Struthio camelus: one gene and its partners. The protein of the gene in region 3 purifies or fractionates together with the protein of the main gene of each other region. This does not show direct contact. Links are inferred from orthologs where the notes say so. Each region holds a gene or a part of one and is shown on either strand. Other genes may lie near its edges. The genes, in order: IER5, MTCL1, PPP2R2B and SERTAD4.

Evidence for each region.
Region 1: the proteins of PPP2R2B (region 3) and IER5 purify together in Homo sapiens (affinity purification with mass spectrometry; 4 studies listed by BioGRID and IntAct, with this or other methods). This does not show direct contact. The link is inferred for Struthio camelus from reciprocal best matches to the Homo sapiens genes PPP2R2B and IER5.
Region 2: the proteins of PPP2R2B (region 3) and MTCL1 purify together in Homo sapiens (affinity purification with mass spectrometry; 4 studies listed by BioGRID and IntAct, with this or other methods). This does not show direct contact. The link is inferred for Struthio camelus from reciprocal best matches to the Homo sapiens genes PPP2R2B and MTCL1.
Region 4: the proteins of PPP2R2B (region 3) and SERTAD4 purify together in Homo sapiens (co-immunoprecipitation; 3 studies listed by BioGRID and IntAct, with this or other methods). This does not show direct contact. The link is inferred for Struthio camelus from reciprocal best matches to the Homo sapiens genes PPP2R2B and SERTAD4.

What each region holds. Positions count from the first base shown.
Region 1 is NC_090949.1:6,943,351-6,949,340, forward strand, and holds IER5 (immediate early response gene 5 protein), read left to right. Parts: upstream 1-4,026; 5' UTR 4,027-4,155; coding exon 4,156-4,926; 3' UTR 4,927-5,480; downstream 5,481-5,990. UniProt on the Homo sapiens protein: Plays a role as a transcription factor. Mediates positive transcriptional regulation of several chaperone genes during the heat shock response in a HSF1-dependent manner. Mediates negative transcriptional regulation of CDC25B expression.
Region 2 is NC_090943.1:116,633,775-116,641,216, reverse strand, and holds the start of MTCL1 (microtubule cross-linking factor 1), read left to right. Parts: upstream 1-4,442; coding exon 4,443-5,327; intron 5,328-7,442. UniProt on the Homo sapiens protein: Microtubule-associated factor involved in the late phase of epithelial polarization and microtubule dynamics regulation.
Region 3 is NC_090954.1:623,119-630,098, reverse strand, and holds the start of PPP2R2B (serine/threonine-protein phosphatase 2A 55 kDa regulatory subunit B beta isoform), read right to left. Parts: upstream 3,021-6,980; 5' UTR 2,919-3,020; coding exon 2,909-2,918; intron 2,767-2,908; coding exon 2,689-2,766; intron 1-2,688. UniProt on the Homo sapiens protein: The B regulatory subunit might modulate substrate selectivity and catalytic activity, and might also direct the localization of the catalytic enzyme to a particular subcellular compartment.
Region 4 is NC_090944.1:113,208,027-113,215,761, reverse strand, and holds the start of SERTAD4 (SERTA domain-containing protein 4), read right to left. Parts: upstream 3,014-7,735; 5' UTR 2,897-3,013; intron 2,532-2,896; 5' UTR 2,516-2,531; coding exon 2,323-2,515; intron 1,903-2,322; coding exon 1,787-1,902; intron 1-1,786.

The DNA of each region.
Region 1 (5,990 bases), on a different chromosome or scaffold from region 3:
GGGTACTGGTTATTAGCTCCTCCTGCTCAGGGGATGCATTTCTTTGCTCTTTCCCCGCAAGGATCTCAAAGGCCCCTTTCTGAGCACTAATGACATGTATACGTAAGGTACATCATGTTTATTGCTGACGAAGGCAGAAAAGATGGACACTGGCCCTCCCTTGGCTGCCAGCCCATGGTTTTAAGCAGACTAGGTGGCCAAAATGTAGGTGGTGGCTACCAGAGAGAAATGTTGGCTCGTATCATTCTGATGAGGTGGCGGGTGGCAGAACAAGTCAGTCAGCTCTGGATGCAGTCACCTTTACTCAGCATAGATCCTATGCAGTGTCTTTTCCACCCATATTTAGCTTTTTCAGCTCACAGAGCTGCTTTGCACCACTGGTCTTCATCAGCTTTTGAGTCAGGCACGTGGCATCACGAAATCAGCAGGAATACAGTCAGATGAAAAATATGAAATCTGATTTTATTCTTCTAACTAGAGTCATCTCTGCTGATGACACCAGAGGCCCAGGTCCTGCAAGCCAGCTCAAGGGTCCGCAAGTGACTCATCTGCTGTCACAGCGAGGGGAGATACCATCTTGTAAGAGCGTAACCTAACATCACAGCGCGGACGGAGCGGCTGGTGGCGGGCAGGCATGGCGGCTGTAAGTGAAGAGGAGTGACTGAAGTCCCAAACATGTGAACCCAGACCTGACTGAGCTGGTTAGACTGACCCGAGAGCTTAAGGCCAGGGAGTTGCTGGCCCTCCGAGGCGCAGGATCAGGTTCTGCAGGTCTGGAAACTTGAGGACGGCAGCGCCGTCGGTTCCGTTCCCACCGCTGTCACTCGCATTCCTCCTGCCTCCCACGGCCCTGTGTGGGTGGCGGAGCCCCGGCCCGCGTCTCTGCAGCGGTGGTTTCCTCTGCAACCCGAGAAAGGCTTGGCGCTGTCACGGAGAGGGGGAGAGTCGGGAAAGGCTTTCTAGGCTGTTGTACAGCACGCTCGAGTGCTCCAGTCTAGTAATTTGAGAAGAGGCATCCTGGCAGGTTTGTGCGAGAGGAGGTGCAAATTTTTAGAAGTCAAACCACAGGCTGCTTTGTTTTGGGAGACCATACCATCGTGTTCAAAAGGAAGTGTCCAGAGAGTGGCATTTCGGGGTTTTCAGCTGCATTTGAGCTAGAGAAAAACATGCATTCGTTCTGAGTTTGGATTTTTCTCAGGGAAGGCTCCTGCCATGTCAACTGTGTCTTAATGTGTTTGTGGTTGAATCTTCACTTGTTTTTTGTTACTGTTGTTACCAGCCACCCTGTTGTCCTTCCGGGAAGCCAGAACACGGTGGCAGTTCTTGCCAGTAAGGCATCAGCTCAGGAAAGGGCATCTGAGAGTCACTGGCACAGCAAGGCTGAAGTCCTGCATGCTGAGGAGGCGGGCGAGATGCATTCACCAAGGAGCAGCAGGCAGTTGGCATGGGTGATGCTGGGGTGGTGAAGAAATTTTTCTGTGTCTGCCTAAATAGGAGGGTCCCTCTCTTTTCTGGCAAAACGATAACATCCATTTTCTGCTGTTTTTCCTTTGTAAAAGCTCTCCTTGTCCTCTGCGTTTCAGCTCACAGATGTTCCTATTTCCACCCCCAGATGACTGCATTTATAGCCTTCGTGTGCTGGATAGGGTGCCGGGGAGGCTGGGGAAAATTGTCGAGGAATCTGGGGACAAGTTTGAAGTGTTTCAAAAAGAAAAGAGCTGGTTTCTTTCTGTCTCCTTTTGACTGCACGAAACAAAGACTTGTTTCTGAAACCCCAGGAGCGTGGCAGGTAGTGCTGAGAAAGCAAGTTTTCTAACAACCAGCAGGTGAGAGTTGGGCTAGACAGAACAGCAGAGCATCTGGAGAGACAAAGGAGGCAGTATATCTCTAAAAAACACCTCTGAGAGAAATGCTTAGCCACGCTGTGCTTGCAGCCCGTTGTCTCTAGCCTGCGATAAGGGGCCAGAGAGTTATACGCCGCATTGCATTGAAAACCCAACCAGGCGATCCTCACTCAGCAGCACACAGATGCTTGCCACGTGAAGCACTCAGACGGTAGGACAAGCCAACGTAAAGATTGCTCAAGAAACCTGCATCCCACCCCTCTCGTGCTTGTTCGTCCTGAGATACGTCTGTAATGACACGATCACATGACATTTGGATATAGCTTCTTATTCCTGTCTTAGAGGGCATGTTCCCAAGCCAGTGTGCTGCACCTTGTTGTACCGGGCTGGGAACAGCCCTGGCCCCGCTTCCCCGCCTGCCTCATCCTTCGCCAACGCCGGTGCAGCTGCACAGCTAGTTGAGGAAGCTGATCCAGCTGAAAGCGATCACTTCAGTGCCAAATTCATTGCCCCAAACAAGCTGCCCGGTAGGGCTGTGGCGAAAGGGGCAGACTGCTCCAGCGGGGAGAGGAGAGGAGAGGGGACAGCAGGGCTGCAGCAGCTGCCCCCAATAAGGTCACTTTGCAGACGTACGTGATTTGGATTTCACCCCAGCCTGCTGGTGTTCATTGACAGGACTGTCCCTGTTTTACAACAGCCAGTGCAGCCCCGGGGTTATCAGCTGTGTGCTCATTTGGGGGATTTGGGGCCTGATGGAAATGCATAACAGGGACTCGCTATTAAATAGCCCTTTGCTCCTTCAAAGCCCCCGTACGCTGACCTTTGTCTCGATGGCAAAAACCGGCACTTCTGCAGCTCCCGTCTTGCTTCTCACTGCTAACTGTGGTTCTCATTTTGGGGGGGATCTGTGAGTGAATCCCTATGAAAAAGGACTGAAGCAACGCATCAAGTCTCAGGCAGGAACTCTGCTGAAGAAGCAGGAACAGAAACTGATACTCCAGGGCAGGGCATTTAACTTCCTTAATTTCACCCTCATTTCTTGTATCCTTCTGCCACCTTCACTGAAGGCGGTGATCGCTTCTCAGTAAAAAGGGATGGCCCCGCTCTGAGCCCGGAAACACCCCTCCGAGCTTGTCCGTCCTGGTCGCTGCACGAGGCCGTGGTTCTGCGGAGAGAAACGGCACGTGGGGGTGCAGCTGACCGCAAGGAGAGAGGGAGCAGCGTGAAGCGTCCCCAGAGATTTCTCTGATGCCTTGAGCTGAATGTCTGGGGTGGTGGTTGGCCTCTGCGGCCCCGAGCCGCCAGGGCAGGCTGGAGCACGTGCCCTGCCTGGGGGCTTCATAGCCGACTGCTACGGCAGAGCGGCGGGAAGCTTTCAGTTCCCACGGGAAGTGCGCCAGGCTGCCGTGGTCCCCGTGTCTCTGCTGGAGATGCTGGTGTCCTGCTGTGCTCCCCCAGCCTCCGTTCCTATGCTGTCCTGCCCCCAGGTTTTGATCTTCCTCTTTTATCGTCAGCTTTCTGAGAGCTTCGTCGCCAAACCTGAGAAACCTCCTTCAAGGAGCTGGGAAGCGATGTGATTCTGGTCAAAGCGGGGGCGTAGTTCCCTTGAAATACTGAAAGGTGCAGTTGCCCCCTCCACCCAACATACGTCCCTTCTCTCAAACTACACGATGTTGGCGACTGATGGCGAAATTGCAATAATCATTTGTAACCTTCACAAAACCACGGGCGGTTCTTGCTTTTTTTTTTTTTTTTTTTAAGAAATGTTTCAGTTGTTGGCCAAAACTCCCACTGCTGCCTCCCGATCCGATAAATCTCCATCGGAGATGGAGAACCAGAATAAATCCCCATCCCAAATGAAAACAGAACCACGGGAGCCGACAGCGGCCCGCACGGTTGGGCTTGTCGCTCTGGGTCGGGCAAGGCCTGAGGAGCTGGGCTGGGCTTCGGGTTTTCCTCGCCCTTCCCGACCAGACGTGGTCCCACGCGTGGCCTGCAGGCCGGGCCCCACCGCCGCCGTTGCCGCTTTAAGGGCCCTCTCCGCGGGGCGCGCGTTCGAACCCGCTGCCCTGCCTCGCCATTGGCTGGCGCGGGCGCGCGGGGGCCCGCCGGCGGTTGGAGCGGCCAGCGGGGCGCCCTGATTGGCCGGGGCGGGGGCACTATATAAAGCGGCCGGGTGCGTGGGCTCGCCTCAGTCGGCGGCGCGAGCGAGCGGCGAGCGGAGGCGGAGCGCGGGCGGCCCGGCGCGGCGGGACACGGCACGTTACGGCCCTGCGCGGCGGCGGCGGCGGCGCAGCTCTCGCCCGTCCCCATGGAGTTCAAGCTGGAGGCGCACCGCATCGTCAGCATCTCGCTGGGCAAGATCTACAGCGCGCGGGGCCAGCGCGGCGGCCTCAAGCTCCACAAGAACCTCCTGGTGTCGCTGGTGCTGCGCAGCGCCCGGCAGGTCTACCTGAGCGAGCCCTGCTGCCCGCCCGAGCCGCCCCCGGCCGGCGGCGCCCCCCCCCGCGGGCCGACGGAGGAGCCGCCGCCGCCCGGAGCCGCCGCCGCCGCATGGGCGCCGGGCGAGCCGCCGCCGCCGCCGCAGGACGAGGCGCCTAGGGGCGGCCCGCGGCGGCCCGGCGCGGACTGCGAGAGCCCCCGGGCGCGGCGCTGCGGCTGCTGCTGCGCGGCGGCGGCGGGCGGCGAGGCGGGTTGCGCTGGCGGCGGGGGGGGCGCGGCGCCGCTGCCGCCCTGCTGCTCCCGGAAGCGCGGCGCCGGCGAGCGGGGCCAGGCGGGCTCACCGCTGAAGAAACCTCGCCGCGAGGCGGAGGAGGAGCCGCCGCCGCCGCCGTCGCAGGGCGAGCAGGAGGACATGGAGACGGGCAACGTGGCCAACCTCATCAGCATCTTCGGCTCCGGCTTCTCGGGACTGCTCGGCAAGGAGCCGCCGGGCCGGCGGCGAGCGCCCCGCGACGGCGGCGAGGCGGCGGCGGCAGCAGCAGCGCCCGCCGAGGCGGCGGCCGAGCCGGGGCAGATCTGCTGCGACGAGCCGGTGCTGCGGACCCTCAACCCCTGGAGCACGGCCATCGTGGCCTTCTGACCCGCCGCGCGCGGGCAGCAGAGACTCGCCCCCCGCCGCGGGCAGGGGGGGCCCAGCGGACAGACGGGCAGCCGGACCTAGAGGTGACCCCCGCCCTCCTCCTCCTCTTCCCTCCCCCTCCACCCCCCCCTCCCCCGCGGCACCGGACCGCTCGGCCGCGGGAGCGCAGCGCGGCGCCGGGCGGACCCCGCGCCCTGCACCGCCCCGGCCGCCGGGCACCAGCACTTGCCCTGGGCGGCCCTGGCCGCCGGCTCACGTTTTAAGCTCGGGAAGTATTAAGTTTATTAAATAAAGTCTATATTTTGGAAAGGCTTAGGGCCGGAACTCTTACATGGTGCTTTTTTAAAAGTGTTTATTGAGAGAAACGAAGTTTACAGACGCTCTGATGGAAAGTCCTTGAGCCTGTTTGTTAAGGCTTGGTAAGTCCCGGTCTTTGTTGTATAAAGGCTTGGGGCTCTGGTAGGGATTTTGTACAGTATTCTCCCTCAGTGATGTATCTCGTTTTGTATAAAATGTAACTCTACGTGTACAACACGTATTAAATATTTCCAACTGTATAAGCGTAGTCCCTGTTTGTGCACCCGCTTGGCGTGGGGAGGGGGGAGCCGAGAGCCGGGCAGGCAGCCGCGAGGGTGCGGTTGCTGCGTGTCTGTGGCTGGATCCACCCTGCGTAGCCAGAGGCTTGGGGTGGGTTGGAGCCCAGCTCTCCTGGGAGCTGGGAAGAAAGGAAACTTCTGTCAGGGCAATTGGAGTCCCTCCCAGGATCCCGCCCGCTGATCCGACGGCTCCTCTGGCTGCAGCCTCTTCCCTGCTCGGCGCTGCTCTGGGGCGCTGACTGCGGAGAGCTGGGAGGTGGTGGGAAGCGCTGGGCAGTCCTGCTGCCTCCGTGATGTGCTCGTGAAGTCAGACTGCGACTAGGGCGGGGGGGGTGGGGCTGTGGTGGCACTTGAAGTCTTGCTCAGAAAGTACCTAATGTGCCAAAGCGCTCCCTTTGCGCTGAAAGCGGTTGCTAAATACCGAAAGAGCAGCTGTACTGCAGTCCCAGCTTGGCTCTGCCTAGCTGC
Region 2 (7,442 bases), on a different chromosome or scaffold from region 3:
TAATTGTAAACTGTCCTGTGCCTCAGCCCTAGAAAGGAATTTAGGGAGCCCTACACTGCCAAACTGTGCCTTATGCTTTGTAAAATGTTTGGTAGCTAATCTGAATAGTCAGGCTTAGCATCTACTTTTCACAATTATTTGTGCAAGTACAACTTGGTTATCAAAAGTCTGCATGTATCAGGCAAAGGACATCGGCATTGCCAAAATAAATTTGTTGTAAAAGTGTTATGTCTGATTATTTGTATTATTCAACCACCACCCAGACGTCCTATTATGTTAAGAGCTGCACAAGGCTGTAAGAAACTGTTCCACCACCAGGGATGTATGACTAATTTAAGATAAGAAACAACAATTGGACATTAGAAGCAAAATAAAAAGAATGGGAGAGGAGAATTAGGGTAAGCGTGACAGGCAGTCTGTGGTGGCATGCTCCTGCATGAACCATTAGTGAGTTTTATGTAAGGGGAGAAATGGTTTGATATAAATAAATAAGAAATATGATACCTGTATTCCTTACTGGGCATTTGCCTAGCCCAATAGAGATTTCTGTGGTATGTACTTAGCTTTCATATTAGGGTATTATTCTCACTCACACCATGCCCAGTTACACCACTTTTTTAAGGATCTCCAAATGGCACTGCATAGATAGCAGAGGACAGAGGAACACAGCCAAAACACTACAGCTGGGCTCGTACCACAAAAATTCGCCATCTGTATCCAGCTAGGCACCTGCCCAGCAAGGGTTATTGATACTGCATTTCTTTGTTATTGAACTCTTTATACTGCTAGAGCAATATAAAGGGATCTTAGTGTGACTGAGCTTTGGTCTCAGTCTAATGTGTGTTTTCCTGTTTTACATTTCCAGTTCGAATGTGATTTTGTTTGAGTATCAATGTAAATAAATCACTTGCTATGATGCCTAGTTGAACTGATGCTGCCTCTGAATGCAAAGGATAACAAACCTTGCTGTATACTTCAGTGAAAGGAACACATACAGAATACAAGGATAAATGTTTATAGAGGTATCTGATCGCCAGTCCCCTTGCTAGTCTAAGGTCACCCTGCCAGATCTTGGGCCTTTAGTTATTCTGAAAGTAGATTCTGGGCACCTTCCCAGTAAGTCTGACTGAGTTGAGGTCCTCCTTGTCTTTGTCTTTTGGAACTTGTGGCCCATAATGCACAGTGATATAACAAGACACCTTACAAATAAAGCATTTAGTAGCTGAAAGAAAGCATTTAGTGAAAAAAGGGTCATAAAATAACAACAACAACAACAATCTGTATGCATGTGTTTACAATGTAAAATTTACAAGGTAACCTAAGCAAACTGGACTCTGCCAGGCACTCAAGTGTCACAGATTAATTCCCCCAGATAATTCCCAGCCCTTTGTGAATGTGCTCTTTTCTCAACCTTCCTAAGTCTTTTCCCCTCCAGTGGCACTGTCTCTCAACTATTGTTTGTAGAAAAGTGGCTTATCTTGAGCTATACTTTTTCCTTTCATTTTCCTTTTGAATTGAACTTTTGTGTTCATGGAGCAACTATGTCAAAACAGAATACTCATAAATTATGACAGAGCAGTTCCTCTTCCATCATAAGACTTAGAAACATTTAAAATCTAGTAGGTGAAGCTGGAATTCCTGTCTGTTCTTAAAGGTTACAACAAAAAGCAAGTGAGAGTGAACGTACTAGAGTAAAACAACCTTTATTGTATCTATCATCTAGGGTGACATGTATAATAATTAATATTACTTAAGATGAAATACAGCAGCCATCATCTCTTTCACTCCAGAAATTTAGAAAAGGAGGATTGCTCAAATCGCACAATAGTATGTTGCCGAACAAACCAAGAACACAACAGCTTAGCAGAAAAGACTGATACATGCAGTAGTCTGACAGAAATGCCATGGCATTAAAATGTAACAATAGTGTATATTTTATAAGCTGTTCTTCTAGAGAAAAGTCTAGCAGAGCTGCTTCGTATTGCTTCTATAGACTGGTCTTCTCATCCAATTAACAATCAATTATTAGTACTGTACACCGAGGGAGAAAAAGTGGCTTACGCTTGACAGCAGGCTTGTTGTGTTCTCCTTTCCTCAGAGTACTTTGTATAAATGGTAAAGGAGTTGGCCCCACACAATCTGCCTCATATCTATACTATACGTACAGACAGGCAGCAGCAAATGCAATCTTTGCCACACTGCTCAAAAATACTTTGCCATGTGACCTAAAAAGAACATTTGGATGAGGGAACTTAACTGACCAGCAGCAGTGCCAATCAGGGAAAACTGTAAGCTGTAGCAGAAGCTACATTTGTTAAAGAGAAAAAAAGAAAATCTCTCCATGCTCTGTGGCAGAGTTTGCTCTCCTGCCCCAGCCACTTGTAGAAGGACCATGCCACTCTCTTGGGGCAGCCAACCCCTCGGTGGGGGACATGTGTGACCCCAGGATGCGCCCCCAGCTCTTCAGCCCCAGGTCGGGGGCTTTAACCAAAGTGCTGGAGCCCTCGCAGGCGTCAGGCACTGAGCGTTGCCCCCGGGATGCAGGGAGCCGCCGAAGGGCTGGTGGTTGCCGAAACCCTGTCATCAGGCAAGCTCACGGGGCTGGCATGTTAACCAGGGAGGTACTGAGGAGCCGCTCTTAATTTCTGGAGACCTGTAATACAGTTCTGATTTGAATAATTTTTCAGCACTATAGCTTTTACAAATAATGACTACCTGTTGCATACTAATAGGGTAGCATCTGTGTTGCTCTTCAGCAGGATACATCAGTTTTGCCCACTAAAACTTCTCGTTTACCAGGACAAGAAGTCCCAGGATACCAGCGCCGTCCCAGTTCTTCCCCAGACGAGCTGACTGGCCCATTTCAGGTGACTCTGCGCATTGGACCTGGCTGCCACCCCGAGACCAGGTTTCAAACCCTTTCCCCAGAGCCGGATGCTGACCTTACCTCAGCCCGCCTGGACTGTTTTTGTAATGGTATCTAGTGCCCTCAGACTTCAGCAGTCCCAAGGGCTTTTGCCTTTCAGGGTAATACTTTGCACCTAGACGAGCAGGGTGGGAGACCCTGTGTGCCCAAGGGTGCTGGCACGCCACCCCCCACTTGGACTGCACTTGCCCAGAGCATGCCGCAATCACTGCTGTTCAGACTCAGATGAATTAAGCCTCCCAATAACTTTATGAGACAAGCATGCATTTACCATCTTTCTTTGACAGATAAACGTCAGGGAGCCACCGTGGCTTGTACAAGGTCTCACTGTGCTTGAGTGGAGGAGTCAGAAACACCCTGACTGTTGCCGTTGTGCGTTACCCAGTTAGGCTGTGCCTCTTTCCCACGCTTTAGCCTCTCCTCCCTTTCATGTGTTCTTCGAACGCTTCGCAAATTTAAGGTCTTTAATTTCATATCCCTGTGCTCCAGAAGGATAGGTCCGTGCCTTTTGTAGTTTAGCCACAGCCAGGAACTTGCTGATTCCCTCAGATACTCAGCCCTGCCTCTGGGTGAACCTGTGCCTGCCTTAAGCAAAGATATAATGCGGTGACTGTTGTTTTGTTGCTGCAGATCTCTGGAGAGAGGGTTTTCGTGGAGTCTTAGCTTGGAAGGGAAAAAAAAATCAACACGCAACGCTATACAGCTCATGGCTGGGAAATTAAGATGTTGCCCCCTCCCACCCCCAAATCAGGCTTCCTTATAGGAAGTGACTGGCAGAGGCGCCCCTACAACACGGCATGCGGGGAGCTCGAGGAAAGTAGTTTGCAGCGAGAGCAGCTTGGCTGGCTGACAGAGGGGGCGGATCCTGCGCACAGGCGGGGAGCGCCGCGCCGGAGCGGCCCCGGCAGCGGCGGGGCTATTTCAGGAGCCGGCGGAGGCGGCGGCCGGGGCCGGGGCGCGCCGCGCCGGGGCCGCGGGCACCGACCGGGGAGCCATGGGGTTAGCCGCGCCGGCGGGCTGAGCGAGGATTTGCGAGCGGAGGCGAAGGCAGCCGGGAAAGACTCCTTTGCATCGGATTCGAGGGAAAAGGGAGTCGTTTTCTTTTTTTCTTTCTTTTTTTTTTTTTTTTTCGGGCTGCATCACAACTTGAGCTGCATCGAGGCGAGCCAGGCAGAGAGGGGAGCGGGAGGGGAAGGAGAAGGAGAGGGAGAGGGAGGAGGAGAAGCTGCCGCCGAGGGACTGGGATTCGTTTTATTGAAACAAATCAGTGCTCGGGAGAGAGGGAGCGAGGGGGAGGAGGGGGAGGGCAGGACGAGGGGGATCGGGAAAGAAAAGTGTGAGGGCTGTGGCTGGGAGAAGCAGAAGTGATGAGAAAGCAAGCGGGGAGGCTGGAGGAGGCTGCTCGTGCTGCTGCGACCGGGCTCCGCGGGCACCGCCGCTCCTGCTGCCGCCGCCGCCGCCGCAGCCGGGCGCCCCCGCGGCCGCCGCTGCCGCCCCGCCGCCCCCGGCCCGCGCCATGGAGGCGCTGAACGGCCCCGGCCCCGGCCCCGGGGACACGCTGCGGCCGCCGCCGCCCAGCCACCACCACCCGCACGCCGAGAAGAAGCGGCTGAACCGAGCCCCGTCCCCCGCCAGACCCTTCCTCAAGGACCTGCACGCCCGCGCCGCCTCCGCCAAGCCGCCGCCGGCGCCCCCCAAGTCTCCCAGCCTCCCCGGCCGGGCGCAGCCGCCGCCACCGCCGCCGTCGTCGCCTCACGCCGCGGGGCTGCTGGCGGCGCAGGGCCGCCTCTCCCGCCGCCCCGCCGCCCCCGGGGCCAAGGCGGCCGCCGCTGCTGCCGCTGCTGCCGGGCGGGCGGCCGCCGCCAAAGCCGCCCCCTGCGCCAAGCGGGCGGCCCGCGGGCCGGAGCCCGGGCCCGGCGGCCGCGGCGGGGGGCGGCAGCCCGGCGGCGAGGCGGCCCCGCCGCCCGGCAAGGGCAGGAAGGCGAAGCGGGGCGCGGCGGCGGGCAGCGGCCATGCGGCGGCGGCGGCGCTGGCGCTGGCCCGCGTCAGCCACACGGACAGCAGCTCCGACCTCTCCGACTGCCCCTCCGAGCCGCTCTCCGACGAGCAGCGCCTGGCCCCGGCCGCCAGCAGCGACGCCGAGTCCGGCACCGGCTCCAGCGACCGCGAGCGGGAGCCGCCCCGCCACGGACCCGCCGCCGGCCCCGGCCGCGGCGCCCCGCTGCCCCCCGGCGGCCCCCGCGGCGACCCCGCGGCCCCGCTGCCCGCCCCCCCGGGGGCCGCCGCCGCCGCCGCGCCGGGCGGAGGGCGAGCGCCGGGCCGCGGCGAGCCGCCGCGGGCGGCCCAGGAGGAGCTGCAGCGGGAGATGGAGGAGCTGCGCTCGGAGAACGAGTACCTCAAGGTGAGACCCGCCGAGACCCCCCCCCCCGCCCGGGGCAGCGGTGACTCGGGGGTGCCCGTCTGGGGCGGGGGTGGGGGGGCCGCGCCGCGGACCGCCGGGTTTACTCGCGCCCGTCGGGGCCGCTGCGGGCAGCGCGGGCGGAGGTCGGCGCGGAGCGGGGCCGTAGCAAGGCGTCGCAGGGGCAGGTAGGGGGCTTCGGCGTGTGGTCGTGTTTCTCTGCAAAAGGCTTGATTTATAGAGGCTGGATGAACGCGAGGCCGGCGCGACGGGTGCGGTAAGAGTGCTGTGGCTGGGCGGTGCGTGATCCCTCAGCCATGCCCAAACTCTTTCTGAAGCAGAGTGAGCACTCCGCTGGTTACCGGAGACCTCGCTTTCCAGGAATTGTTATCCTCAATATCACCCTTACAGGAAAGAAAAAAAAAAAAACAACTCATTTGATATCGGAAAGAGGACAGCGTCTTGTCTGTTTATCGTGTTACTTTGTCACTGAAGAGCCAAGCCATTCATTGTGAAGTACTAACGAAGTAACAATAGCAGCCGTAAAAGGAGTCTTTGCATCGTTGTACAGGTAGAAAAGCACACATATGTGCATTCAGCCTCTGAGAAAACGGGAAAGCTAAATTCAGGAGTGCTCTGAGCTGATCTGACCTGCAGAAACCTTTTGTTGGACTAGTACTTACAACATGATCTTTTGGCACAGCAAAGAGGCTGCATCCATAAAGATCTATAAATAAAATAAACTGAGATAATCATGTAACCACAGATACTGTACCATTTGACTCTGCTGCTGGTGAGGACGATCTTTGTTCTCTGAATATCACAAACACCATTTCTTCTCAAGCAAAATGACCATGGGCATCCAAGGGATTTTTGCTCTAGTGAGGACTGGAGTTTCGTAACCTTGGGAGAAAGGAGGATGGCGAAGAGGTAGACTAGGCTTGTTAAGCAGTTTTGGCTAGGAGACAAGAAACGATGTGCAGCATAGCAAAAGGTTAACAGCAGGGGTGCTGCAAGGTTCTGTGCTGTCTGGTGCTGCTTCATGAACTGGAATAAGGAGTGAGCAATGATACAGCAAATTTTTCAGATGACACAGATTTTTTTTTTGATGTGAAGTCCAGCAAAGACTGGACAGAACTCCATAGGCAGCTTAATCAGGGGAGGTGAATGGGTAAAAAGTGAAGGCAGAGGATGCGAAATAAATCTCAGTACTGAAAATTCAAAGCATTCAGAGAGAAAAAGGGCTGAATATATACTTTTCTAGGTTTTAAATGCGTTGTTTTAACTCAGGAGCATCACAGTGGAAAGAGCAATGCTCAGTGTGCAACTGCAGGTAGTACTAGATTGCATTAGAAACTGAATGGCAAAAAAGCAAAGAAAATATCATAATGTTTTATAGATTCATAGCCATTATATGCACTGGAATACTGTGGGCAGTGCTGGTCATCTAGAAAAGGATAATGCAGAACTAGAGCAATAAAAACTATTGGGGCATAGCAAAGCTCTTACAAGATTCATATTGGATAGAAGACTCTGTAGTGCACTAGAGAAATGCAATAAAGGTCAGTAAAAAGATGAATAGCGTAGAGAACCTTTATCAGAAGCTTCTGTTCTGCATGAGAGAAACAAGGGGACATGTAATGAAATCCAGACTTGTTAAAGGATTGCTTTTACAAATAGTTAAACTGCATTGGTCTTTGGGGTCAAAAGCCCAGTAATACCCAGAAGAGGAACTGGCTATCCTTTCAGATGACAGGGTTTGCAGACTTACAGTACTTAACTTTGTGAAGCAGGTGATGAACTTGGTGAAGCTGACCATTATGAAGAATGTGTTAAGCTGCTTGTTTCGTGTCCAAGGTAGTTTCTAATTATGGGAGACTTAAAAAAAAAAAAAAAAAAAAAAAAAAAGGGGGGGGGGGTTGATGTTATGGAGAATGTTACCTGCCTACTGTGAGTTTCCGTGCCCCTTCCTCTGAGTTGTCTAGGACAGGCCACCGTGAGGGTACTGGACCCCTGGTACTGACCAGAGGACCTGATCGACAGATCCTAGGTAGCGAGCTTTATTCTGCGTCATTTCTCATTTCTTGCCCTGTGTGACAGTGTCTTCAAGTCTTTCAC
Region 3 (6,980 bases):
GGAAAGAAAGAAATACAAAGTGTGTATGTATGTGGGTTTATGTGTGCATGGAAAACAGTAGGCATACAGAATTACTCTCTGCATCTTTTTAAAATATCAGTTAAAAGCCAGAATTACAGTGTATTCTGCTGCAGGCGGCAGGATCCTCTACATTCAAAGATGCAGTACATAGTAAACATAATAGCAACATTTCCTTTCAACTAACAGTATACAACTGCATGCATTCCAATAATTAATGAAATTACATTTTGTAAATTCAGGATGCTTGGATGTTAGCAAGAGTTCTAAAGGTCAGAAATGTGCCATGAAGACTACTAAAGCCAACGAATTATGGATAAACTTCTGATGAAGGGGAGAGATTGGAACGCTGCGATATATGTGTACGTACATCTGTATACACACACACATATTCACATGTGAACACAAGCAAAAACAGCGTAGCAGCCAATAGCCCAATCCCATACCTAAAATATTCTGCTGAGCTTTCTGCCCAGTCATCTGTTCCTGTTGACAAGATTTTACAGATCAACGTGATTTTTTTTTGTTATTTTTTTCACTGAATATGGCCTTTAAAGTAACATCTCTGAGGCTTTTCTGTTCCGTGGCTTCAGGTTACCTCCCACAAAGATTACAGGGGTCCTTTTCTGTCACCATGTCTCTGTATTCCTCTGGCATCGAGTCTCAAATGTGAAAAATAACAGCTTATAGCATTCAGCTGATAACAGGTTACGTGAAGGAAGGGTAGTGAGGAAGAAGAGGCAAGCTACCATTTTATCAGTCCTGAACTGGCAAATAAGTGCCCTTGACCATTTAAAATGATTTTAAGATTCTACAGTAAAAGTTCAAAGCACTTGTAGTAATTTCTGCAAAAAGCATCTTAACAGAAAAACGCTGTGATTTTAATTGCAGTCAATTATTTTTTCCCAGAGATTTAACACATTTTTAAATATTCTGAGTTTTGTGCACCACTGTAGTCTCTAGAGGTTACAGACAGCAGCCCTCTTCTGCAAAAAGCAGCGCAACAAATAACTGCCACTGAAGCAAAACACATGACAATACTCCAGATAGAATCACATTCCCTAGAGGAGGAGAAGTTAGAGCTCTGCTGTCAGAGACTTGGGCTAACTCAGTTCCCTTCTCAGTCTTACAAGACTGTGCTTTTAAAGTAAGCCTTATGCTTCAGGGAGTACCACAAAGTAGAAGAAATACATCCAGTAAGCTAACTCAGTTCCTACATTTATTATCTTAATATCCACATAAGGAGCTGCAAGCAGTCGCACTATTAGCAGCACTTTACCAGGCACTGCTGCACTTTTCCGCAAGCTCTTTTCCTGGAATCATTCTCACTTCTAAAGCCATTCAGTTGGAGCAATGAAATGCCACTAGTAGTGTCTACACACTGGTTTCAAGCAGAAAAGATTGGCAGCGTTCTGCCAGGGCAGTTAAGACCTGATGGGCAGCGTTCTCATATGCTGTACCATAGATCTCTGACCATCCTGTGGTCATTCTGCAGTGTCACACCAGAGAACACATCTCATGCTCTCTGGAGCTTTAAACAAAGCATGACAGGAAAAATATGACAGCCCGCAAATATAAAAGGTCAGTGTAACAACACAAACCAAACCCCTCTACACATTGGAAGATAGGATTTCACCATGGTTTAGCTGGTCTCCCTGTGGCACAAAAATGCTGCCTGTAAAGGGAGAGTTAGGAGAAGAGGGATGTGATCTTAGTTATACATGAGGGGCAAAGTATAGATATAGTGTATATATACATATATATGTGTGTGTATGTATGTATGTGAAGTATAGGGATCATATAGGGAATAAATGGTGAAATAGAGAGGTAAAGAAATTCATGGATTAACGAGAGCAATGCAATAGGAGAAAGGAAGATGGAAGTGGGAAATAAGACTAAGAAAATGACCATTAAGAAGTTAAAAATAGAACCATCAACGTAGGAGGGACTGAAAGAATATATTCAACTTCAAGGTCAGGAAAACTGAATATATTATTTATTTTTGATTGTCCATGTTTTTGCAGTCAAAATGCCAAATATAGAATGGGTGTGCTTGCAGGGAGAGAAGTGCCCAAGTCATTTAGCAGTACAAATCACCCTGAAAGCTACTGGGTGTGAAAGAAGATGTTATGTGTCTTCTGCTCTTAAATCCCCCAACTGCCTGTGTTAATCCCTCCTGCACGGGCACATATCTGTGTAAGTGTATACACTGTAAATTATTTTAACCCTGCATACAAGAATGAGCAGTGTTTTAATACTTATGTTAATACCCAGAAGCAGAATCCAACTGATTCCAGTAAAGGATATTATGGTGGCAGAGGTGGTCTCAATTACCTGAAACGCTCACGTAAATAAAAGCTGAAAATCAAAGGAAATGTATTTCAAAGACTATTGATGCTTAAGGCATACTACTATGATGCTTAAGACTATTACTATGCTTAAGACATAATGGCTTCAAATGAATCTTTTGGATCAATAGCTAATTTTAGTGACCTTTTTCAAGTACATAAATACTGGAGAAAAGCAGAAGAGTAAAGAAGCATAACTCAACTCTGCCAGCAGTTTCACCCAACAACATGTGAGCAACCCCCCCCATACATTGATTAGGCAAAGAGTACAAGACAAACAAGTTATCTTTGATCAAAGCAACAAAAGGAAAAATAAACCTACCTTCTGTCACCCCAATGTCAATAGTTCCTTTTACTTGACTAAAACACCACAGCACATCCTGCATGAGGTTTCCAAATCCTGCCAGGGGAACAAATGCAGAAAGAAGATATACTCACACTTCTGTACAGCTCGTCTTTTTTTGAACAAACACACACACATGCACATACAAATTGGCACACAAATATCTGCAGTCCCTGCGTGAAGAGAAATATTTGCTCACCTGGTATCATTCTTCCATACAAAGTGCAAAGCTAACACTGCAAAACTGAAAACATTATGCCTGCGTTATGAATTGCTTGTCTGTCTGTTTTCTCTGTACCATGTTAGGGCTATTTTGAAAATGGTGCAATTGGAGTCAGTCCCCTCTACATCACTGGCAGCATCATAGAAGAGTCAGGAGGCCCTGTAGTCACGGTCTTTGTCACAGCCTCTCTTCACCAGAATACTAATGCCCACATCATTTCCATCGTTGTTAAAAAGGGAGTGAAACAGAGAAAAAAAGAGCTACAACAACAACAACAACAACAACAACAACAACAACATTTTTTCCAGTTTATGGCCAATGTAGTTGTGAACTGCTTGGCAGTGATTCTCAGCAGAATGAAACCACATTAGATGCATCATAACAATATTATCAAAATTTGCCTGGAATCAGAAGTATACTGTATTTGTTTTAAACGAATACTACAGGCATTTCTATTATAAGGCATGTTTAGTAAACTGTGTATCTCTAAACTGCTCTTGCTACTGTAGCAATACTCTTGTGTTAAGACACTCCGAGAGAAATCAGGATTTTATCTACTGCTGCTCATTCTCCTGACAGCTCAGCAAATTTTTCCTTTCTGTAATGCAGTTTTCACTGTAGCAAAAAATTCACAGCCTCTAAGGACAACTTGCTTCCTCTTATCCTAACACACATTTTATCTCTAAGCACTTTTCAAACGTGAAGAAAGCAGCACAATGGAGTCGTGAGGGAAGGAAATACCATTTTACCCATTTTACACACAGTTGAAATGTGGCACCAGAAAATTTGAGTGTTTCACAGTCTGCAAGTGTGATCTTAATCAGGAGACCAAGCTATACTCTAACTTATTCCTTTCTTACAAAAGAAAAAATAGGATGGATAGACAGATAATGTATAGGTAGAGGTATAACTAAGTTAAGCAAACCAACTCGTAGCCTAGCCACATGTCTTTGTGAGATTTCTGTCCTAACAGAACTATGCTGAGGAAATAACCTGTTCAAGTTTTAGAGTCAAAGAAAGGGAAATCTGAATATAGTTTATTTGAAACTTACATTTAATTTGATCTTCCCATTTTCTGTTATACATATATGCTCCAGACAACTATCTGTCCAGGCATCCATCCGTCTGCTGCTCTGTCTTTCCATTTATTTGTTGTCTGTTTTTATAATTCCATGAAAAACATTAAAATTGAAAATGATGCAAAGATTAGGAAACGCAAAATGAGGAGGAAATCCTAACTACTTATGCTTATAACTTTCAAAAGTGTTTTTATTTATATCATGGCCATTTTTTGCATATTAATACAGATCAATAGATATCAAATATGTTAAACAGCAAAATAATCATATACAATGCATTACAACAGTACCTACAAATTGTAGAATGAGTTTTTTGGAAGAGTCAAGCCAAATACGGTGAAATCTGGAGTTTTAAGAGTACAAAAAGACCTGGAGTCTGAGGGTATGACACAGTTTGATAAGACCTTGAAAGAATATTAAGTTTAGTGAGATTCCTAATTTAACATCATCAAACAATAGGCACAGCTACAAGAATATGACATGAAGATGTGAAAAAAATTACAAATTTACAAAAAAATTGTTAACATTGTTGTATAAACATTAATGCCTCATAAATTTTGCTAATAGGTTTGAAAAGCAAGAGAACAACATGCTGGTTGAGAGGAGCAATGTCATTATGCCCTTTCCAGAAAGCTCTTTTGTATCGTTATTACCTCCTCTCAGATAAAAGGAAATAACCAACTCCTTGAAGCAAAAAAGGATTTGTGACTTAAAATTCTTCCTCCTAGCCTGAGAATCCAATCAGATCTAACAAGTTTCTGAGAAATGGCATTTTTGTGGTTTTCAATGTCTTGCCTGTTTGCAAGAATGGACCTGGAAAGGAGAATAGACAGAGAGTATGAAACCCCATGAGTTAACAAACCCTGGTTTTCTTGCTGGCTGTTTGCCCAGCTAGGGACAGCTGTAATTCAGCATTGTCTGCAGCTCTTGTTAAAGAAAAGCTACATTTTTTTTCTCAGCATCAGATCAGGGTTTTTCTTCATGAAATGCAAAAATGAGTTTTTAGAAGAATTATTTATATTCTCAACAGCCCTGAAAAGTGACCCCTTTGCCATTGTATCGGCTACGGTAAATGGCTGGGCTGGTATGAAATAAATAGGCCTTCTGTCAATCCACTGGACTGTTTGTTACGACGCAGCTGCTTATAAAAATCTTTAGGAACAGTTTTAATATAGATAACAAACAAAGGCAGGTATCTAATGTGGTTCTGGTTGTTTTTAAATAAGCCTAATTTTTAATAGATTTCTACTGGTAAGTCTGCCTCTGACTATTTACAGCGACTGAAGATCCAGTGGTGCTTCTAGTGAGAGCAGGGATGAAAGGCCTAATTCTGTACTCAAACTTAGGTATTGATAAATATGTTTGGCCATTTGAAATCCTGTCCTCATCCTGATATTACTCCATGGATTCAGGTACCACTCACATTGGAGTCAGTCAGAAAAGAAGCTGAATTAGAACAGATTTTGGTCCAAGTGTATTTTCACTGTCTGTCTGATAGAGGTCATCTTATAGACTACTGAAAAGCTGCAAATTCTACTTTACAAGTTAGTGCAAATCTGGGGACAGGGAAGGAAACACACTTTTGTTGGTGCTAAGAATTTCCTATCCTGGTGCACCACTTTGAATCCTCCAGAATTAACTCACCTTCTACACAAACTGACGCAACCCTGCATGGATTAACTCCAACAGAATTTGAGTTTCATTTTTTAAGTCATTGAGCTCTTAGGAAAAACACAACAACAAAGCCAATAATTTTCTTCCCTTACTAGGGACAGTAAAAAAAAAACAAACAATAACTTCAGAATCTGGCCCAAATAAAATACCTTTGCAAAGAAAATTAAAGGAATATATATGACAGAATGTCAAACAGGATATAAAGTAGGTGAGCCACTTGCCTCTAATTCTCTGTTGTAATTACCTGAGCAAAGACCACTCTATCCCATGAAAATAATTAAAATTAAATAATAATAATAATTATAATTAAGTTGTTTCAGCCATTAACAATGTGTTATTTATCAGGAGGCACTTGTTTTACTTTTAAACTATGGACCAGGTTTTCTGTTTCCTTGAGTTGCTCAACAAAGTCTTGAAGACCATTTCTACCCTCTTGAAACATTTCCACATGAAAAGATTGTAAACGGACTCCATTTTATAGACTGCAGATTTTCTAGAGATTGTAGTTTCCAAATTAGAGATAAATGTGGCATGTCATATTACAACGGGACTATTGCAATAAATATTATAGAAACCATCCAAATAGTTCTTTAAATGGATGGAAGTTGGATGAGAAAGAATTCATGGTGGCCTTCAAACTGAGCTGAAAGACACAGGATGATTAACTGCAATACTAAAGGCTAGTATTTTGCCCCTTTAACAATGATATGTTTCATGAGGGAGAATTTATTTCCAAAGGCATACTTCTAGCACATGTTTTAAACAGATCTGTTTTCCAATTTCAATATACAAAACACTTTCAGTATGGATGTATGCAGAATAGTGTCCTAGGAAAAATTAAGTTCCATGCCTTCTTAAACTTTCAACACTTTAGTTTTAAATTAAATTAAATATTAGGCGTCGCACTGGCAGAAAATCTTGGCAACTGGATTAAAAACAACGACAGACGGCATTACCCCAATTAAAGCTGAGCAATGCCATAAAAATGTTTATGCCATTGCAAAAAATAGTTGGATTCATTCTTATTTCATGCATAACCTTGGATTTGATGTTTTATTAATTTCCATTTCTACCTTTTCTTTCCTAAATAAATATTAGTTCATTCCATAGTATCACATGTCCTAACAGCTCATAAGCAAGAACTAAATTATTTCCTTATACTCAGTTAGACTTCAGACACACCATGCTATGTTTTGGGGCAACACTACCCAGCTGTGAACTGCAGTTGTTAGCGCACTCTGTAGACACAGGCAGTCTAGTTTTAAAAAGTGACATTTTAGATGATCTTGCTTGGG
Region 4 (7,735 bases), on a different chromosome or scaffold from region 3:
TGGAGATATGTCCTGGAGAGCCACCAGTAGTTACAAGTTGTCAAAGGCCTTCCACTACAAATGCTTTGCCAGCTGTCCTGGAGAGGGGCTCCAGGGCCCTACCGTCATACCCGCCGTGGGAAGAAGTAACCCGAGAACATAGCTCGCTCTTTACTGGGCAGAGGAGGTATAAAAACGTGTAAGGAATTCAAAGAAATCTGGTGGGAATCCTCCCTCCCCCAGAGCTCAGCGCTGCAGAGTAGAAAACGTATCTGTGCCGAAAAGCACAAATCGGTGACCCGAGATTTCTGACATGATACATTTCTACAATAGCACAAAATGATGTCTGAGACAGGTCTATCTTACCAGTACCTCTACAGCTGTTTTTCATGCTATTAAAAAGGAGAAGCAACTGTTCATTTTTAGGAGGCAAATAATCACTGGTACAAAAATCCAACAATCTATTCAAGAAAAGAGTTGGCTGAAATTAGAGAATGATGTGTGTATGAACGTATGTATACACACACACACACACACACACAACATATATATGTACATATATGTATAAATAGAGCACATTTTTCAGCACCTTCTGTGCCATTTATTCATTGTTCTGAAAGCAGATGAAACATCTTCTGGAATTAACGACAGGGCAATTTTTCACCTTCCGGTCAATTATTCACTTCCAGCCAATACTATTTGTAGCTGAAAACTCCTTTGGCTATCCTGAGGTCCTGGGGGAGCGAGCTTGTCACTACTGCTCACTTCTCCTAAGTGAAAATCTCTCCGGAGAAATAGGATCCAAATGGCCAAACCTCCCCAGGAGGTGCCCGTGGTATGAATGAGGCCTGAAATCCCATCTCGTCTCAGAGGCTGCCTCTCCAGGTGGGAACTGCAATGCAAGCGAAGATAATGTAGAAACTCGCTCTGCCTCTTGCTTTGTTTTGGCTTCTGCCTCTGGGGCTCTCATGGTACTACTGCCTTCCCTGAGCAGTGCTTTAATCACATTGTATTATGTCATCTCTATCTCCAATCGTAAACGGATAGCACAGGAGTACCATGGGCCAGGTATGATCCAGTCAGGTAAGGAGGAGGTCTCAAGGTGCAAGCTAGCCTTCAGCACATCAGTGCAGGTGTTCAGTTCCTTACAGGACTGAGCAAGGGCATAAAATCTCTCATAAAAAGTTAGACTTCAATTTATGTATTCACCGGCCTGAGAAGTGTTTGCTCTAGTCCCTCTCTTGAGAGCTTTAATTAAAAAAAATATATTTTTCATTTCCTAATCTGTTCTTTTGTAGTTATTAGCTTTTCTATAAACAGGATTAAATACTGAAGGAGATTGAACTCCCTCTCAAGTCATTCTGTTTCTCTAGAGAAACTCTATACCTGTTTGGGCTATATGGAACCTATTATTATTTTCCCCTCTGTAAAAAGTTTCGAGTGAATGGGGAAACATGCATCCTTCTTATTTACATTGTTCATTTTTGGTGTTTAAACTCTAGAGAACTGTCTCTATAAAGATGATGTAAGCTACTTAAGAGCAAAACTATGTTCTTAAGAACACAAAAGTTATTCTGAGCATTTACATTTACAGTTGTTATAGCTGAAGAAATGCCTTTCCTTCTGAAGCCATTCGATGACAACAAAACAATAAATGCGAACAAGTGAGAACTATTCATTTCTAAGCAAACAGCTGGATCATTCTCCTAATTTCAGTGGAGTATTTCAGCCTTCTGGAAATGGGTCAGTCAAGCGTTACTAAGCATCTGAAACTCGGAGTAAAAATAATGACTACTAGAAAACATACTTTATGTGTACAGCTGCTGAGTGGTGGATGAAAATCCTCTTCTTCCACATATTTCCTTTTAAAGTATGTGATCTTGGGTGTTGTTACAGGATTTGAAATTCCCCTGTAATGTGATCCTGTGGGCAATAAATCAGATATGACAAATGACATGCGGTTTGCCGGAGGTTCTCCAAACAAAATACTTCTCATTTCCCTCTCTCGCTACAGGAGAGCTCCACCACATATTTTCGCATATGTCCGTAGCGATCAAAAGTAAAACCTTCACCTGCCTCACGCACACACCGCGCGCAACGTGCGCTGGCCCGGGCCACCGAGGACCGTCTCAAGGGGCAGCGCTGGCAGGCTCGACACATCCCCCGGCCTGGCGGCTTGGGCAAAACTTTCCTCCCCGCTTTCCAGCCAGCCGGACGAGCGGCTGCGCCGGTCAGGGCGCCCCGGCCGCCCCCGCCGCTCGCTACCAGCGGGTTTCATACACCTGCCCCAAACCCGCCGCCCCCTGCCCCTGCAGCCCGGCCGCCCGGCGCGGCGGTGCCTACCTGCGCCCGGGGCCGGGGCCGGGGCCGGGGCTGCGGCGGGGCCGGGGCCGGGGCCGGGGCCGGGGCCGGGGCCGGGGCGGCCGCAGCAGGGCGGCTCCCAGAGGGCGCGGCAGGCGGCGAGGTCGGCGGCTCCCTCGGCGGCGGCGGCGGCGATGGGGTGGCCCAGCCGCTGCATGGGCAGCACCAGGGTCATCGCGGGCGCCCGGCACCTGGAAGCGAAGCAGCGGCGTCAGCGCCCCGCGCAGCGGCGCCGAGCCGGGCCGAGCCGAGCCGAGCCGGGCCGGGCCGAGCCGGGCCGGGCCGAGCCGAGCCGCCCTCCCGGTGCCCCCGCAGCCCGCCGCCGCCGCGTTTCACCTGCCCGCCCTCCGCCGGGGCTTTCCGCCGCGGCCGGAGCAGATGCATCATGCACACAGGCGGGCACGCGTACGTTGCCAACCTGTTTTTTTTTTTTTTCTTTTTTTCCCCCCTCCCTCCTTGTCGCAAGCAAAAGAGCCGAGCCCCGACCGAGCCCTCCCCACACAGGGCGCGGGGTCCCCCCACTGCCCCCCGGCCCGGCCCGGCACCGCTCACACACCGGCACGGATCCGCTCACTCGCTTCCCATATTCTCCCGGTGGCGTTGGCACAGCGCGCTCGGCACCGGCGGGTGTGTGTGCGTGTGTGTGTGTGTGCGTGTGCGTGTGTGTGCGCGCACACACCAGTTGGGGATTGCGTTTCTTTCTTCTTTCTTCCCTCCCAAACGGAACAGACAGAAGAGACTTAGGTAGTTGTTTCCACTAGCCCCGCTCGGACTGAACTGGATCTGCCTCCAGTCAAAACACTGCGAGACTAAGACAGAAAATTGGCTCCGGTTTCAAGCCGTGAGTTGCAGTCCCGCAGGAGCCAAGCACAACATCGGCGGAGCAAGGCAGAATATTAAACAGGAGCGGGGACCGCAGGGCCAGCGCCGGGCTGCGAGCCGCCTCCTGCCGCCGCCAGCCGGGCCGCGCAGCGCCGCGCAGCGCCGCGCACCGAGCAAACTTTCCGCCAGGGGCCGGGGATGAGTCCAGCGGCACCGGCTCCCCGGCAGAGGCGCGTGGAACAATGCCCCGAGCCGCAGCCTCGCCCCTCCTCCTCCTCCTCTTCCTCCTCCTCTCTCGAAGAAAGCGGGATATAGTTTCCTCCCCGTGCAATCTTCCCGCGGGGGGGACGCAAGGGCCCAAGCGCAGGGCGAGAAGGGGGCCGCAGGTGGGCAAGGTGGAAGCCCGGCGGTTGTTTGCGTTAGCGGCGGAGCTCTGTCTAGTCGGGGGCGGGGGGGGGGGGGGAGAAAAGAAACGGCAGCAGGAGAAGGAGAAGAATAAATCATTCACATCTGCCGGTTGTTTTCTTAAATCCTTGAAGAATGCGCAAGGCTGCTACGTTATTAAGAAACGGTCTTCCAGCACGCACTAACTTTCTGTTCCTGAGCTGCGCGCGTCGCCGGGTCTGCGCTGCGCTCCTCGCTGAGGCAGAGGACGGGAGGCGAATGGGAAGTCAGCTGAAATCCCTGAGCATTTAGCTCGGTGAAGGCCACCAGGCGCCACCGCAAATGCACTAAGAGATGCATAAACCCCTTCCTCATAATCAAATTATTTTCTAGCTTGAACCAGGCTTACAGGCAAGGAAGCACACGTTACACGTGACCCCCGGCCCCTTTTCTCAGAGTAGCGCATTAATGCCATCTTGCTTTTTCTGGAGAAAGAAACGCTGACACGAGGAACCCCAGGCCACCGGACCGGCCCGTTAGGAACGAGCCATGACACAGACAATACACATTGTTCCCTGCCCCTTGGGTTGCCAGCTGAGTGCCGACACATGGAAAGTCTGGTCCAAACCACGAGTGGGTGAGTCGGCTGACCTAAGGAGAAGATCTAAAAAAAAGCCTACAAACTAGCTTAAAAAGTCATAGATTTCGTGCGTGAAAGGATTACACTGTCGTTAGAAAGCACCCGTGGACTCGTCTCATTAATCTGCACTGAGGCATCACTCACAGTCAGACATCAGTCTCCTAATGTTGGCATGATGTCAACATGCAGCATTTGTCCTTAGAGAATAAGGGTTGGAAGAAACTCGCTGCCGCTTGTGGAAAGTCGGTATTTCTTTGCTTGTAATGAATTCAGCATCTCTTTGTGGAAATTTTTTATGAGAATAGCATTGGAGATCTGGACTGTGCATTTTTTTACCATGTTTCATCACAAACAGGTCTTTCTATGCTTAAGCAGAAACACACAGGAAGGAAGGAAGTGTTGGGATGCCTTCTGCACAGCGCTGCTGATTTATCTTGAAAAACTGAGTTCTGTGGACAGCCTGTAAAGTAAATGAACTGCTGCTGCTATTTACAACATGCAAAATTAATAGAGGCAGGCCAGTTCACTTCTATAAACAGCTACTGTCCATGCACATTCTCCATGTTTTCAAATAGAATAAAAACAAAACATAGAGCTTCCTTAGGGGGAAAAAAGAAGGCAACCTCCCCCCCCCCCCAAATTGTAGGTCTCGGCGTGGTGTCACTCAGCTACAAAATAAGCCCCATTTTGTAGCAAAGAAATTGCTTCAGTGCACAGAAGCCGAGAGCCAGTCTTTGAAAAGGGCTTCCGATTCTGGGCATGCGATTTGCTCTTGTTTGATTTTCAGAAGCACTGATTTCCAACTGCTGCAAATGAGTGGGAGGGGAGCTGCGAGTACTCGGCACATCTGAAACATCAGCCTCCTTCCGTGTAAAGTTCGGCACCACGCAACTGCAAGGCTGAAGAGGTCGGTCTTACCGACAGAGTGGTACCGTACCTAACGTCGGCACTCTGCCAGAGCTCCGGCATTACTCCTAAAGAATTAAGATACTGTTTCTCCCCGTTAAGGGTGGCAAAAGCTACTCTTGAATATTTTGCCAAAAGTCACAGAGCAAACCAGCGTCAGAGCTAGAAATAGAACCCAGATCTCATCATCCCCCAGCCACAAGCCCAGCCCATTTGTAGTACATTATTGTATGTAGTGTAGGGATTTCGTCCAAAATCCCATTCATTTCAATGAGACCTTGCAGAACAGCACATGCATTGTTACATTTCCATTAACACCACTGGAAGTAAAGGATGAAAGATGCACGTTTGAGCACACAATACATGTACTATACAAAATTACAGCAAAAGGTTGACACTTAGGGCTGGATTCAATTTTAAGAAATCCATTTGGGAGCCTTGTGTGGGCTTCAGTGGCATGGAAGCCAGGCACAATTTTTTATTGAACCCAGCCCTCAATCCTTAGGCTACCACAGTTTTTCCACTTTGTCAGCCAAACGCATGCAGTGCAAGGACACCCTGAGGCATCTACAGCAGCCTGAAGGTTAAAATGTCAAACTTTTTCCGTATGCGGTTTTGCACAGTACGACTACTATACATTGCTACTCCACTCCATTTGCCGGGGTTTTCACTCACTGTTCCTCCAGAGCCATTATGATGTTAATGAGAGAACTGTAATGATGCCATTCACATTATAACAAGCCTGATGCCGATGTCAGTGAAAAGGGCTCTTTATATAGCTCCAGAATGCCTCTAAAAACCCCAACTTAAATATAAAATGCCTGCTACAATAATGCTGCAGGTCTCACCAAGATCAATAAGGACAAGAGAATAGTCTTAAAGGGGCTATGCCTTTCTTAAGTCCTGGGCTTGTACTTAAGTGCTCTTGAGGTTTCAGTATTTATCATACACCCTGTTCTGGAGTATTTTCATAGCATAACAAGACAACTTAAGGACAGAGCAATGCTTCTTAACTGTACTATATCACTGTGGATCATAGTGCTTAGGAAATATCATTGCCTTCATGTTGGTGGCTGTTACCTTGCTGGTGTTATTTGAAATTCACACTGCAGAAATCCCCCTGTACAAGCCCTGCGCACAAGCAGTGCTTGTCTGCACCCAGGGTCTAAAGAAAGCAAGCGGCATCCAGAGAGAGGAAAGGGAAAGATACTGCACAGAGTGCTGCATATACATGAAAAAAGCAACAACAACATCGCACATAAACAATTCCAGCGTAGCCTCTTTCATAGCTGCCTAGTCTTCACGGTTGCTGCAACAAAGTTGGGTATCACCAATCTATCCGGTGGAGGCTCTGTGGGCAAGAGCAGCGTGGGAAAGGGCCAAAAGGCTCTCCCGCGAGAAGCAGACAAACGCACAGGGACGCCCGCCTCCCCGGTGAACAGCGAGAAGAGCCACGCAGTGGAGACAGTCGTGGGGCAGCAACAACCAAGGCAGAGCTGAGACGGCCTAGAACGGGAAAACAAAGGACTTGACTTGACGCAGGAAAATAAGGAGGAAAGGCAGGAGGCGATTGGCTCGGACCACAGCAATGGGCATGGAAGGAGACGTAAGAGCTTTTGCTTGAGTAGATCAAGCTAGCTGTCATGCCAGAAGTTCAAGGGGGAAGAAGTTACAAGCCTAGATGGGAAATACCAGGGCCTTGATTCAAATGCTTATTGCCTGAATAGATAAGGATGCAGTTACAGAAACATTGTGAGTGAAGCAGCGGAAAACTGGGGCAACTGAGCCACAGTAAATGACCGCCAAGAGTCAAGCAGATCCCTGAATTCAAGGCTCTGGTGGTAACGAGAACAGCAAGATTGCAAGCATTGGGTTAAGTGGGAAACATCTAGAATTGGCTGTGCTGAATGTAAACGGAAAGCTGGACTTCCAAGAGACAGGCCATGGTTTGGGAGCAGACGCAGACAGGCCCGAAGGAAAACAAAGATCTCCTCCATATCTCGATAATACGAACAGGTGAGACGAACTACGGTATTTCAGCACACTGATACGGAGCATTCGCTCCTGAGCAGCGAGCTCCCAGTTTAGCGCCACAGCGGAGAACGAAGAAAGGGCCGGGGCCCCGCGTTCGCCAGAGGCTGGAGTGGAAAAGGGAGTGAGGGTTCCCGATCAACAGTAAACAGAGGAGTCAGTCTGAAGGAGGGAGCCACGTACTTGGTAGAAAAAGAGGAGCAGGGCACCGCTGGAAGGTGCAACGATAACCTGGTACAAAAGGCACGAAGAAGGGAGATGTCAAGCGACCGCAGGGAAGAGGCAGAGGGGAAGGGGGAAATGACGACAGGTGGCAGCAAGTCAGCGCGGACTCTGTGCAGTGATGTTTTTCCATTCTTTCCAATGCATGTTGTATCGGAAACATATATAATACCATTTCACATGAGCATGATACAGGAGTGATGTGAAAGAGTTAAGATCGGGTGAAATATCTAGACTGGTAAAACAACAGGTCTGTGTGCCAACAGGGTCAATTCAGCTCTTCATCCTTCTGAGGTAGATAAACTATAGACCTGCCAAGTCTAGTGTTTTTCCCTGTATTTCTTGGCCCTCACTTGAGGGAAATTCAAGCAATCCTCTGTTGGGATTTTT